Linked DNA regions of Caenorhabditis elegans. The protein of the gene in region 1 interacts with the protein of each later gene in a biochemical or structural test. Each region holds a gene or a part of one and is shown on either strand. Other genes may lie near its edges.

The links.
Region 2: of the proteins of asd-1 (region 1) and sup-12, one has a biochemical effect on the other in vitro, tested with the Caenorhabditis elegans proteins (one study listed by BioGRID).

What each region holds. Positions count from the first base shown.
Region 1 is NC_003281.10:4,195,625-4,202,777, reverse strand, and holds asd-1 (RRM domain-containing protein), read right to left. Parts: upstream 5,494-7,153; 5' UTR 5,481-5,493; coding exon 5,451-5,480; intron 3,910-5,450; coding exon 3,663-3,909; intron 2,794-3,662; coding exon 2,654-2,793; intron 2,605-2,653; coding exon 2,457-2,604; intron 2,277-2,456; exon of another isoform or gene 2,231-2,276; intron 2,166-2,230; coding exon 1,728-2,165; intron 1,165-1,727; coding exon 953-1,164; 3' UTR 518-952; downstream 1-517. Other genes in the region: pelo-1 (Protein pelota homolog), read left to right, coding at 149-404.
Region 2 is NC_003284.9:3,902,928-3,908,195, reverse strand, and holds sup-12 (RRM domain-containing protein), read right to left. Parts: upstream 3,606-5,268; 5' UTR 3,558-3,605; coding exon 3,476-3,557; intron 3,283-3,475; coding exon 3,125-3,282; intron 2,706-3,124; coding exon 2,576-2,705; intron 2,388-2,575; coding exon 2,318-2,387; intron 2,058-2,317; coding exon of another isoform or gene 2,042-2,057; exon of another isoform or gene 2,012-2,041; intron 1,383-2,011; coding exon 1,222-1,382; intron 1,151-1,221; coding exon 1,005-1,150; 3' UTR 525-1,004; downstream 1-524. Other genes in the region: T22B2.5 (Neur_chan_memb domain-containing protein), read left to right, coding at 19-52.

The DNA.
Region 1 (7,153 bases):
TTCACTGAAAAAGCTATAAGTGAATCAAATTTTTGCCGGTATGAGTGTTAATATCAAAAATAATTAGTAAACTGGTGTAAACTCGACAGATTGTTGTGTTGGAGCTATTAAATTCGATAAAAACTACTAAAATTTCACAATTTTTCAGCCATGTGAATCGTGCAAATCAAGAGCTCGCCATCGAAACACTCCTTGTCGCTGATTCTCTATTCCGAGCCCAAGATATTGAGACACGACGAAAATACGTAAGACTTGTGGAAAGTGTTCGAGAACAGAACGGAAAAGTTCACATTTTCTCTTCAATGCACGTTTCTGGAGAACAACTCGCTCAGTTGACTGGATGTGCAGCTATTTTGAGATTTCCGATGCCTGATTTAGATGATGAGCCGATGGATGAAAATTGATTGTTTTTCTACATTTCTAGTTGTTTTTTTTTCTCTTTTTTTCTGAAAATGGGAATTTGTTTCGTTGTCCCTATTGCTCTGTACATTTTTTTTTGTTTTTTGAAATAAAAATTATTAAAACAATTTTTGTTCGAGAAAAAAAAGAAGATTGCACAGAAAAAGTAGAGAAAAATTGATAAAGCAACACCAAAAATTGAGAAAAGAGATGCATCGAGTGAGAGAGGGAGGGAAGATGAATTACAATCCGTAGCATACAATTTCAAAAGGTTAGAAAAATTAGTAAGAAAACAACTTATTACACAGAGTTCCGTGAGAATATTATGAATATCAAATAAAGCCAAATTGGGGACGGGATGGGGGTCATCAGAGTTTTTAATAGAGATTAAAATGTATTTTTTGTCTGGAAATGTTCTGGGAAAATATGTAAAATTACACATGAATTAATATGCGTCAGATGGGGCAATGGGGGAATGTGATGGATTATTCCGAGAATTGTGTAGAATTAAAATTACATTATTCGAAAATCCAGTGAGTATATAAACATAAAATTAATATGGAGCAAAACGTCGTTGAAGAGCAGCCGCAGCAGCAGCCGCTGGATGCAGAGCCTGTGAGTGATGATGGAAATTTGCTGGAACTGCTCCTTGCATTGATTGTTGTAAGTATTGCTCTCCAATTGAGCCTGCAGCGACTTGATTTTGTGATGATCCGGTGGTGGCTGTTGATGTTGGAATGCGCCCTGGCTGAGGAACACCTCGACCTGGAAAATTTCAGTTTTTAACGTTGGAAAAATTTTGGTTTTCCGATTTTTTTTTGTTAATTAAGGTAATTTCTCAACATGTTAGATTAAAATATAAACTAAAGTTTAGTTTTTATTTTTAGAAAAAAAAATCAAATTTTCAATAACTTTGGGTCATTTCTTAAGATTTTTCGGTTTACTCTGAAAAATCCAAAATTAAAAAAAAAACGTTCTCTCATCGAAAATCACAACTTTTTCGTTAAACCTAGTTTTCTTCTCCTTTTCGTACAATTTTCTAATTTTTTCCCGACGTTAACTTCGCAGATTTTTAGATTTTCAAAAAAAAAAACCGAAAATTTTCGTTTTTTACATTATAAAAATTGTAATTTATCAATTTTCAAACAAAAAAGTAAATATTTTTATCATCGAAATCAATAGCTATAAATAATCCATAGTTTTCTCCTTTCATTTATTTCAAATTTTTTCTCGATTTTTTAACGTTCAATTATTTTTGGAAAACATTAGAATTTTCAATAATTATTATTTCAAAAAAAAATCATTTCTCAATTTTTCGAAGAAATAACCTTGAGCAGCGGCAGCAGCAGCTTGAAGTTGCATTCTCTGTTGCTCAAATGCAATCAACGTGACCATTTGTGCTTGAGCAGCTTGTGCCTGTGCCTGAGCCATCGGATCCATTGCAAACTGTTGTTGATGTTGAATAAGCTGAGCCATCGATGTCGGTGGAGCCTGTGCTTGTGCCTGTTGCTGTTGTTGAAGACTTAAAAGGAATTGAGGATTCTGCATTTGTTGCTGTTGTTGTTGAGCAGCGAGCAGTGCCTGTTGATATTGAAGAGCTTGCAGTTGAGAGATGGCTGCTGCAGAAGTTGGTGGCATCATGAGTTGTTGATGACGTGGCACAAGGAATTGTTGAGCAAGAAGTTGCTGTTGCAGAAGAGCAGCACGTTGAATCTGTTGTTGTTGGGATATCAGAGCATTTTGAGCACTCATTGCGTCCACTCCAACTGAAATATTTTGAGATTGATATTCGAAAATGGAAAATCTCGGACCAAGGGTGTATATTTTTCGATTTGTGAAAAATCGAAAAATCAAAATTTTTTCGATTTTTCGAAAATAAGCTCCAAATTTTGATCCTTTTTCTTTTTAAAATTGTATGTTTTATTAAATACGATTAATATTGTAAACATAAAAAATTGGATTTTTTAATGTGTTCAGAAAACTTGGACAAAAATTTCGATGGCTCCTTTTTCCGATTTTCAATTTTTTCCAGAATCACGAAACACTATTTTCCTTACCTGACATCAAAGGCTTGGCCTTTTTATTGTGAACTCTCTGAGTAGCAAGATTCACTTCAACACGTCTCCCTTCAATCGTCGTTCCATTAAACTCGGCTCGAGCACGATCCGCATCATCTGGATTCTGCATTGTCACGAATCCAAATCCCTGGAATTTATTTATTAATTTTTTCTGAAAATGTTGTTTTAAAACAAACCTTAGAACCCCGTTCATTGAAGATAATCTCGACATCTACGACGGGCCCAACTTTTTCAAACATCGCAGTGAGATCTGGCTCACGATATTTGAACGGGATATTCGAGACGTGTAGGCGGCGTGGTCCATCTGTACTACTTGCTGAAAATATTTTTTCAAAAGTGTTCTTGGGATTTAAATGCCTAAAAAATTTTTTTAATATTATTTTTTTGATGATTTCCTTCTGTTTTTTTTTTCAAAAAAATTTCAAAAAAAAAAGAGAAATCAGAAGAAATTAATAAAAAACTAAAAAAGCAGTCAACCTTGGGGTGTGGGCAGTGTGCTTGTACGCATTCCAGAGGTTAATATATGTATGGCTAGACGAAAAAAAAGAAAACCACTATTGAAATTAAATAACTGCCACCGATATGAACATTATCCACAATTAAAATAGCACGCAATGATGTGTGTGCATTTATTTTAAATTATTATTACCTGGAACAATAAATTCTGAGAATTCGTATTTCGCAGGATAGTTGACGCGCAAAGTATCTCGTAGCGAAAACTACAGTAACCCTTTAAATTAATACTGTAGCGCTGGTGTCGATTTACGAGAATCATTTTAAATCGAAAAAATATTAAAAGAACACAAAAATGATAGAATAATTTGATATCGCTCCCACAGTTTGAACAGAAATTCATTTCGAAATCGTGCCCGTAAATCGACACCAGCGCTACAGTAGTCATTAAAGAATTACTGAAGTTATCGCTACGAGATATTTTGCTCGTCAAATATGTGGTGCAGTACGCATTCTCCGAATTCAAAGTTCCCGTAAATTATTTATTTTTTTCGCTCATTGCACACACATCATTGGGCACTTTTCATGCATTTCTCTGGTTTTGTTTAATAAAAAAATAGAACACAAATCTCTCTCAAGTCTTCCACGAAGACGTGCATTATCAAATAAGCTCTCTCTTTTTAATGCTAAAAAACGTAGGAAGAATAGAGAAGAACATTAGGAGTCTCTTACAGCTAGTGCTGCGATCATTCGGAGCCACTGGTCCAATCGTCAGTGGCTGCTGTTGCTTCTGTTGAGTTGGTGGTGGTAGTGGTTGCTGCTGCAGCTGTTCCGTTGATCCTCCAGATGTTTGAGATTGTGGAGCCTCTGGAGAGGATCCGATTTGATGTGGTCGGAGCACAGCGGCGGCAGCTCCATTTTGAGCAGCTACCATTTGCTGCTGGAGAGCCACTTTATAGTCGAAATCGTTTAATTTTTCCTGAAAACGGTAAAAGCAATGTCATTCACTGGGGAGGGAGCTCATGCGGTTTTGTCGACGAGGGGATGAGGAAGAATGATCTCCTGTTTCGTGCGGAATATGACGTCATCTGAATGATTGGTTGAACATGGATGATAGATGTAGACATTATTATTATTAAATGAAATCGGTTAGAAATGAAAGATTGAAAGAAAATTGGTTGAAATATATAGTAATCCTAGGGTATATTTAAAAAATGGAACCTGATAATATTTATGATTTTTTATGGAGAAAAAAAAATATAGAGATAGGAGTTGTCATCCAAAAATATGTTTCAAAAATTCTTGTGAGAAAAACCAGGTCTCGACGCGACCGAAAAGAACGCAGGGTATTTGGGGTACTGTAATTTCTCGCAATTTTCAAAGATGAATTATTTATTATGGGGGCGCAAATATTGCCCATTTCGAAATTGACGCCAATTTTAAACGCTCCGCCCCCAAACTATGGGTCTTATTAGGAATTTGGCGGAAAAACCATAAATTCAGACTTTCTAAATCGATAATTGAAAAAAGAGAAAAAGTACTTGAAAATTGGCGAAACTAATTCAAACATTTGAATTAACTATTTTGCCGCCAAAACGAAGCGAATATTTTTCTGCCTCCCAATAATATTAAAATTTCAATAGGGGGTTTTCACAATCCAGCAGTTTTTTATTCCAAAAAGCCATTTAAATGGACACAAAAGCGAGAAACATTGCATGCAATTTCATAAATTAGACTATCATGGGAAAGTAATTTTATTCTGCCTCAGATGTTCAATTGACTTTTTATTCAAATTTCGTAGATTCAATTTTCCTGACTAAAAATCCACATGCAAAATATTTATATATATATACCAGGTTCCATTTAACCATATTACAATTAGACACCTAGCGTGATTTGATTAGTATAAAAATGAAATTAAAAACTAGAAAATAAAATAAAAAACTGTGTTTCACTAAATACATTCAACCAGTGTATGTGTGTAGGTGTACGTGTGGGTGTATATCATTTCATCATCATCATCCATGCACAAAAAACCATTGAGAATTTGTTATTTGGAACAGATATTGGTTTTTTTTTCGAAAAAAAAAGATTTCTCCAATATTTTCCAGTCTTTTGCCACGTGGCAATGATAAGCTAGAGAGGGGCGTTTGGAAGAGGAGCAGACATTGGTTATTCAAACTGAAATTTCATTCACTAATTGGGTCTCGAGTGGAAAACTAGTGCACTTCCACTCGAGACCCAACTCGCGAAAAGATATAGATCGAAATTATAAGAAAGGCCACAAAACCGCATGCGCCGCTAGCCACGGAAGAAAAATGAGAGATACTTATAATATATATATATACTTGTTCAGAATATATATAATACCGGTGCAAACACCACAAAAATCAATGTTTTGGTTAAAATTATGTGCATAATATGGAAAAGATGAGGGGAGCGCTGGAAGAGAAAATAAAACGCTCGATGTTTTGTTTTTTTTAGTTGGAGAAGAAAATACCTGAAATTATATTGACTCACCACTGTTATTATTTCAGCCGCCGTTGTCATTTGTAGAGAAGATCTGGAACAACAAATATTTGGAAAAGCTTTTTTTTTTCGAAAAGATAGATTTTGAAGGAAGAAAAAAGCTTTAAAAAATCGATTGAGATTTCAAGAAAATATGTGGATTTTTCAAAATAAAAATATGTGCCCAAATGAACGAAAATTTGAGACTTTTAGTCAGTTTCTCAAAAAAAAACTGTATGACTGTTCAAAAATTTCGAAGCATACTTTTCCTTACAGCAGCTGAAATACAGCGACATGTAAAAATTGGAATTTTTGCAATTTTTTCGAAATTTTGAACATTTTTTTGGGAAGTCTCATTATAAGATTCGCTCAGTTGGGCACATTTAGAAATGAATTCCTAAAACAAAATGTACAAACCAAAGCTACTCGTAAAGAAAAACTGAAGTAACATCGGGAAAAAACCCGCTAAAAATGGATAGGAAGGATGATAGAGAATTAGAGAAAAAGAGCGATACACGCGCAACGAGCAGCTCACGAGGAGGCGGGTAACACAGAGGAATGTGGTGGCCTGGGTAAAGCTAGGCCATTGGATCCTGTGCAAAGATTTTTGTGAGCAAAAACTTATTTTTTTGAAGAAATTGTATTGGTTTTTGAAGTTATGAGAAGAAAAAGTCTAGAAACAGATTTTGAAAGGACTGAAATAACGTAAAAGACATTGGAAACTTAATCAAATTTCAATCTACAGTATCTACAGTCTTTCAAAAAAGTTCTGCCTTCAGAGGTAGCTACCAACACTTGAAACGGGGCCAAAACTGGTTGTTCAGTCTCAAAACGACCCTATTTTTCGATAGTTTTCCGTCTTTTTTTTGTGTCATCTTGCCTCATTTTCCTCACTTCCTCTCTCTTTCTCCTCAGTGTTCAAGGTCTTTTCTTTGTTGTGACACGGGAACTAATTTTGATGTGAAGTGATCGGATAAATATTTTGTCATATCAGGAATGAATAGGTGCAAATTACGAATATTTCTTTTCAATGTTTTTTAGGCATAATAGCGAGGAAAAACTAGAAAACACGCTTAAAAATGATGAAGAAGGAAGAAAAATCAGAAAAGACAAACAAATAATTACAGTGATCAAAGGTGCATGCATACAATTTCCAGGTGGGTCTCGCAGCGGTAGGTAATCCAATAAATTTAATAAATATTGCGAAAATGAAGCATTTCGATGCCGATTTCTCTCTAAGAATCGATTCGAATCTACTTTTTTGTTTAAAAGAAGCACAAAAACTCCACTTTTCCTGTGAAAGGGATTAGTACTCGCACTTGAAGAGAAACAAAAAAGTGGAAATAGTGAGTCCTTATTGTGAGAAAATTGAAAAATGGAAAACGAGAAAATGAAAAACCGGGAGGAGAATAGGGAGCTGGAGCGTTGCGAAAATAAACGAGGAGAAAGTGAGGGGGAAAAATGGAAAATAAAAAGACAGATGGGCACCATGTGGCGGCGGAGAATGACCGATTCAATCGATTTTTTAATTGGTTAGTCGTAGAAAAAGTGAGTGAGAGCAGAGGCTATTAAACCAGGATTGAGCGTCTTAAGCTCAATGAGTTCAGCACTTTTTCAATCTGACAACTTTTATATCGAATTTTGTGTTTAGACATATTTTGTATCGTACTAAAGTATTATTCAACAAAAAAAAAACTACAATTTAAAGATCGTCT
Region 2 (5,268 bases), on another chromosome or scaffold:
ATAACGTTTTGTTTTCAGTGGTGGCCAAAATGTCTCGAGCAGCTTAAAATAATTATTCTCTACCCTCATTTCGGTTAGTTATTCTACTATTTACTATTTGTAGATGGTTTCTCAAGGCATTTCAATTTTTTTTAATTTTCAGCCTGAAATGTCATTCGGAAGTGTTCAATGTCATCTACTACCACTACTATCAGTTTTAGAATTTACAGGATCGACAACTTCAATCAGTCAGGATATTATATTTTCAGAGCCAGTTTTTTCTTCTTTCACAGGTTCTTTTCCCTATTTTTTTGGATGGAAAAAATTCGTCAAAAAATTATCATTCATTCTAAAAGTATCATTCTGCCTAGTACTGTATTTTTTGTTTTAAATTCGATCTACGAAACTACAATATAGTATTGCATTATTTCTTACTGTTTGCCAAGATGACCTAATGCTGCAACTAGTTCCTGTTGTATCCATCTGCCTTCTGTTTAAACCCCCGTTCATTACAACTACTTCCAGTTTCTGCATCACACGTGATTAGGTTTTGAAATCGGTTTATTGTAAACATTAAATGCAGGAACATGTACGACTATTACGAACTCACCATATGAAATTAATTTGCAAATTCAATGAGGATGTGCAAATGGCACATTAAAATCAGGCAACTCTGGCGTTTCGGGAAAAAATTGAGAAGAAAAAACATCGAACGTGTAGAAACCCACATCAGAGATTTGTAATTTGAAATGAATAAGAAAAAAATTGACAAAATCAAAAAGAACTGTGACTAAAATTGTAAAGTATATGGGAATAAAGTTGAAATTGGAAGACTAGATAGAACTGTTTGATTTGCGTAAGAATCTGATATTTGGGTAGGACAAAGTTGTAAAATTATCAGTATAACTCGGGCAAATACCTATGTTCTCTATTGGCAAAATCAGTTGGCGAATTATTGCTGGGACGACAATGACAATCGGTTTTATGAATGAGTGAATGACAAATTGAAGAATATTATTAGGATTCTAGACACGTTGATGCTCAAGCTGTTGTTGTGCGGCAGCTAATTGTTGCAACTGTGGGTTTCCAATATTGTAGGCAGATTGGGGAACTAGGCCGTATCCTGCTGGATAGGCGGCGTATTGCTCAATTGTTGTAGGGGCGGCTGCGACTGAAAATGTTTTATTAAATTTGAAAAAAAAAAATTTTTATTTAATTTTAACTTCCTATCGTCGAACATACATTTTCCTTGGGACTGAATACCATAAGCGGCGGCAGCTTGTGGGTTCATTACTGCGGCCAGAGCATTATAATCGAACAATTGTTGCTGAGCAGCGGCTCCTTGTTGTGCCATCAACGGATTGACCAGTCCTGTGACAGTCGGATAATACATTTGAGGAAGTCTAAAAAAAAGTATTGATTAATTACCGAACACGGAATTGACAGGAGGATGTAAATGCCAAATGCTGGAAATGAGGCAACAGTGTTTATCACAATATCACCCAAAAAACACGCACATGCGTGATAAAAATTCACTTTTTTTGGTTCTGGAAAGTATAATTATTTTTGTTTTTGTTTTAACAATATTAAGAAACTCCACATTTTTTCAGTTCAGTTTTTTTGAGTTAGTGCAAAAGAAATATCTAACATATTTGGATAGAATGAAAAGTAAAATCATTGACAACTTCAAAATTCCAAAAAAAAAAGTATCAGAAAAGACGTAACCAAACTATAGCAAAGTTTAGAAAATGCGTGATGGTTTTAGTTAGGCAGCCAAACCCATTGACCTACAAAGAAATAATCATCAATCCCACCAATGAAGAAAACAACTTTGGGGTGCTCAGTTCATTCAGGACTATGCAAGTTTTCACCAAGGGAAAAGAGAAAAACTCGAAATCATATAGGTTTGGGAAATAGGTGAAAATGAAGAGAAAGAGAGTATGGACACGTCAAAAACACAGCACTATTGTATTCCGCTTTTGGTTTGGAAAATGAAAGTAATGATATTGGCACACGTCAAAGCACGCCTAACCTTTAGTTTTAGGCATCCACGGATTTCGATTCAACCGGCCACTTGTCTTAAAATATTTTGGTTTACAATCATTAATATTATTTAAGTTATTATTAAACGTGTGAAGATGGTTGAACACAAGAGTACTTCTCAAGTATCCTAGGCAACTTTTGAGCTAGAGCACAAAGTTCTACAGTGTTTTGTCATTGCTGTTGTTGTCGTGTTGTTTCTTTTTTCTGTATCAACACAACTCAATTAGCGGTGATTTTTGGATGAGATAGGAATTGTTGGAAGTATGTCACACACAGGCAAATCACCGAAACTTACCCCATTCTTGGTTGAAACAAAGCCTGAAGTTGAGTGGTGAGTGGAAGTTGAACTTGTCCAGCGGCCAGCGCTAAAATGACCAACTTGGTGATTTTGGTTAACACAGACAAAAACTGAATAGAGATGCGCGACACAAACAATATCCTTTGGTTATGAAGGTTGTGGAGGATTGATAATGTTTAGCAGAAGCCAAAACACACGGGGAGAATAAAATGATCTGAGAGCTGCTCAAGAGCCGCACAAAAATTCGAAACTTACCAGCAAGTTGCACATTTGTTCTTGGTTTAGCTCCGAGGTATGCCAAGTTGACATTAGCCTTCCTTCCATCAATGATTGGATTTGGATCTTTACAAGCTCTTTCTGCAGAAGCACGGTCCTTCATTGTTACCTGAAAAGTTATGTTTCATTAACAAACATATGTAAAGATCATGTTTTTTTGCGAAGAGTAATCTTTCCATCTTTGCTGTTGCAACTATTTGTTGAGATATATATGGTTGGGAAATGTTTGCTAACAAAATACGCGTGCGATTCCTATGAAGAGCCGCTTGAGAGGTCAAAGCAGAACCGCGAGATTTCGGAAATTTGAAGATTTCTTCATCCACCTTGTTCCCGAATTATTTTCCAATTTAGTGAAGTTAAATCAAACGAAATTGTTTCCTCTTTTATCTGGACGGACAAGATAAAAAATGGTTAATCATGTCAAAAGTGATTGATGATTAGAAACCGTTTCGTTTCAATTGACCTCCAACGTAAGATCTCGTGAAAAAATATCGCAAACTAGAAATTTTTGACATTCCAGTGACTTACAAATCCATATCCTCTGCTTTTTTGTGTGTTACGATCAGTGATGACTACAGCCTCTTCAATATCTCCAAACTGCTCAAAATACTCGTGAAGCGTCTTGTCACTTGTATGGTATGGCAGACCACCGACAAAGATTTTGGTGAACATGGTATCACGGGAACCTGAAAATGAATGGAGATGAACTAAAAAATTTGAAATATTTCCAGTTTCTATTCCTATCGCAAGTCTTCTTTTAAGTGGAACCATATGTGAGGTTACACACAAAAGTTGCATACCACTGTCATTTTTCCCTATCTTTTTCCCTCTCTAAACCATCATCATGTGACAATTCGATGGGGATCACAGGAAACTCACCAACTACTGGTTCGGCGTTGGTTGATTGTGCCAAAGCAGCGGCAGCAGCATGCACCAGTGGATCTTGGACTTGGCCGTACATTTTTTACTTGATTTATATAGGGCCTAGCTTAAATACCGTGAAATTGACCTGCAAAATGTTTTTGTTTGAAGTTTTGTATATATATACATAGAAATATGAGAAGTTTATAAACGATAATTTAAAAAAACATATACAACATCGAAGGTGTGAATCAATAGGAAATGAGCTAGAGCCAACATGAAACTGAAAACTTTACACTGCTATTATCTATCACTCGTCATGATCAATGAGTTATCAGAGACCTTACTTACCTCAGAGACCACATAGGTAGAGATAGTGAAAACTAAACGAAAGGCGACAAATCGCGAGAGAGAGATAAAATAGAAATGGATAAGAACGAGCCGACGAAAAGCTCGCGCGCGCACAAAATCCGTAGGTCTGTCTCCGGTGGTGGGTGAGCCTGTCAAAGTTTTGCTGCTCTCCAAACAGAAGCCAACCACCGCCCGCCTGTCGTCGCAAAAATTGACTCTTTCTTTCCAACACTCTTCCCCCCGGTCAATTTTTGCCATAATATTTCACCACAATGAGCCGTTGCGCAAATAACACCACCTCTGGAGTATCGATTTATGTCATGCTGATCCAGAAAAAAAAGATTGAAATCGATGAAGAGAAATAAAACGCGAAATAACAACAGAGCTCAACTGACAACGAGTGGGTGGATGTTGGGATGAAGTAAAAGAAGAAGGAGGAGAAGAATAAGAAGAAAGAAGGCTCAATCAAAGGATGCGACAAGGAGAAGTTGCTCCAAGAAGAAAAGAATAGAGACAGAATGAAGAAATAATCCATCTCTGATCACATTGCATTCATGATGTGGTGGTGGGAAATACAGAATAATACTTATACTGTAAGATGTTATTTGGAAAACAATTACGAACTGCAGTATAATTTTTTGTTTTTCTTTTTCTGTGTGAAATTTTAGCTGAGAGGAATGTACAGAGGATTTTGAATTTGGCGGCGATTCAAAAATGAAACAACCATTTGTTTGTGCCCAAAAATAGCAAAGAGAGCCCAATTTGTTGCGATGCTACAAAAAAAGAAAAAAATACCGTTCGCTCAATGTGCTCGGACTAAGACGTTCGCATGTTTGGACAATCCGAGAAAGGCAGCGAAAACAGTGGGAGGCAAAAGAAACAAACTGATGCTCTCCTCCTCCCGGGGGCTAGTCTTGTTTTTCGGGAATACAATTGCTTCAAATCTGTGCGTTTCGAGTATGGGAGTCTTTACCGCCCCTCGTCCTCACCGCCTGATTAAACAATTGGAGGACTTGGAAAGCTGTTGTTGAACGACGCAGAGCACTCTGAATATGGCGGTTCGTCACATTTACATGGAAAAACTTTAAGGATTCTTATGTGAAGTGCCATGTGCATTGAAAATATGGGAAAGTGTTGAAGATTTGAAACCCGGACGTGGTGGTGTTTCTCATCATATCAGTTTATCTTCGATAGTAAGCACAGAGACCGTATAAACCATGCAGAGAGGAAATTTCACTTTTTTATGTTATTTATGTCCGTCCGCAAAACTTCGAAGACACATGACTGAATGAAACTGTTTGTTACAAAATGATTGATTAGAGGGGGGGGGGGGGGGGGTAGAACTAAAACTGGAAGGGCTCTGAATACCAAATACCAGAACCAAATTTTTTACTAAAGGTGAAGAAGCTTTACAAATAGTGGGGAAAAAGGGGATACCATCGAGTTTTTGCAACTTTTTG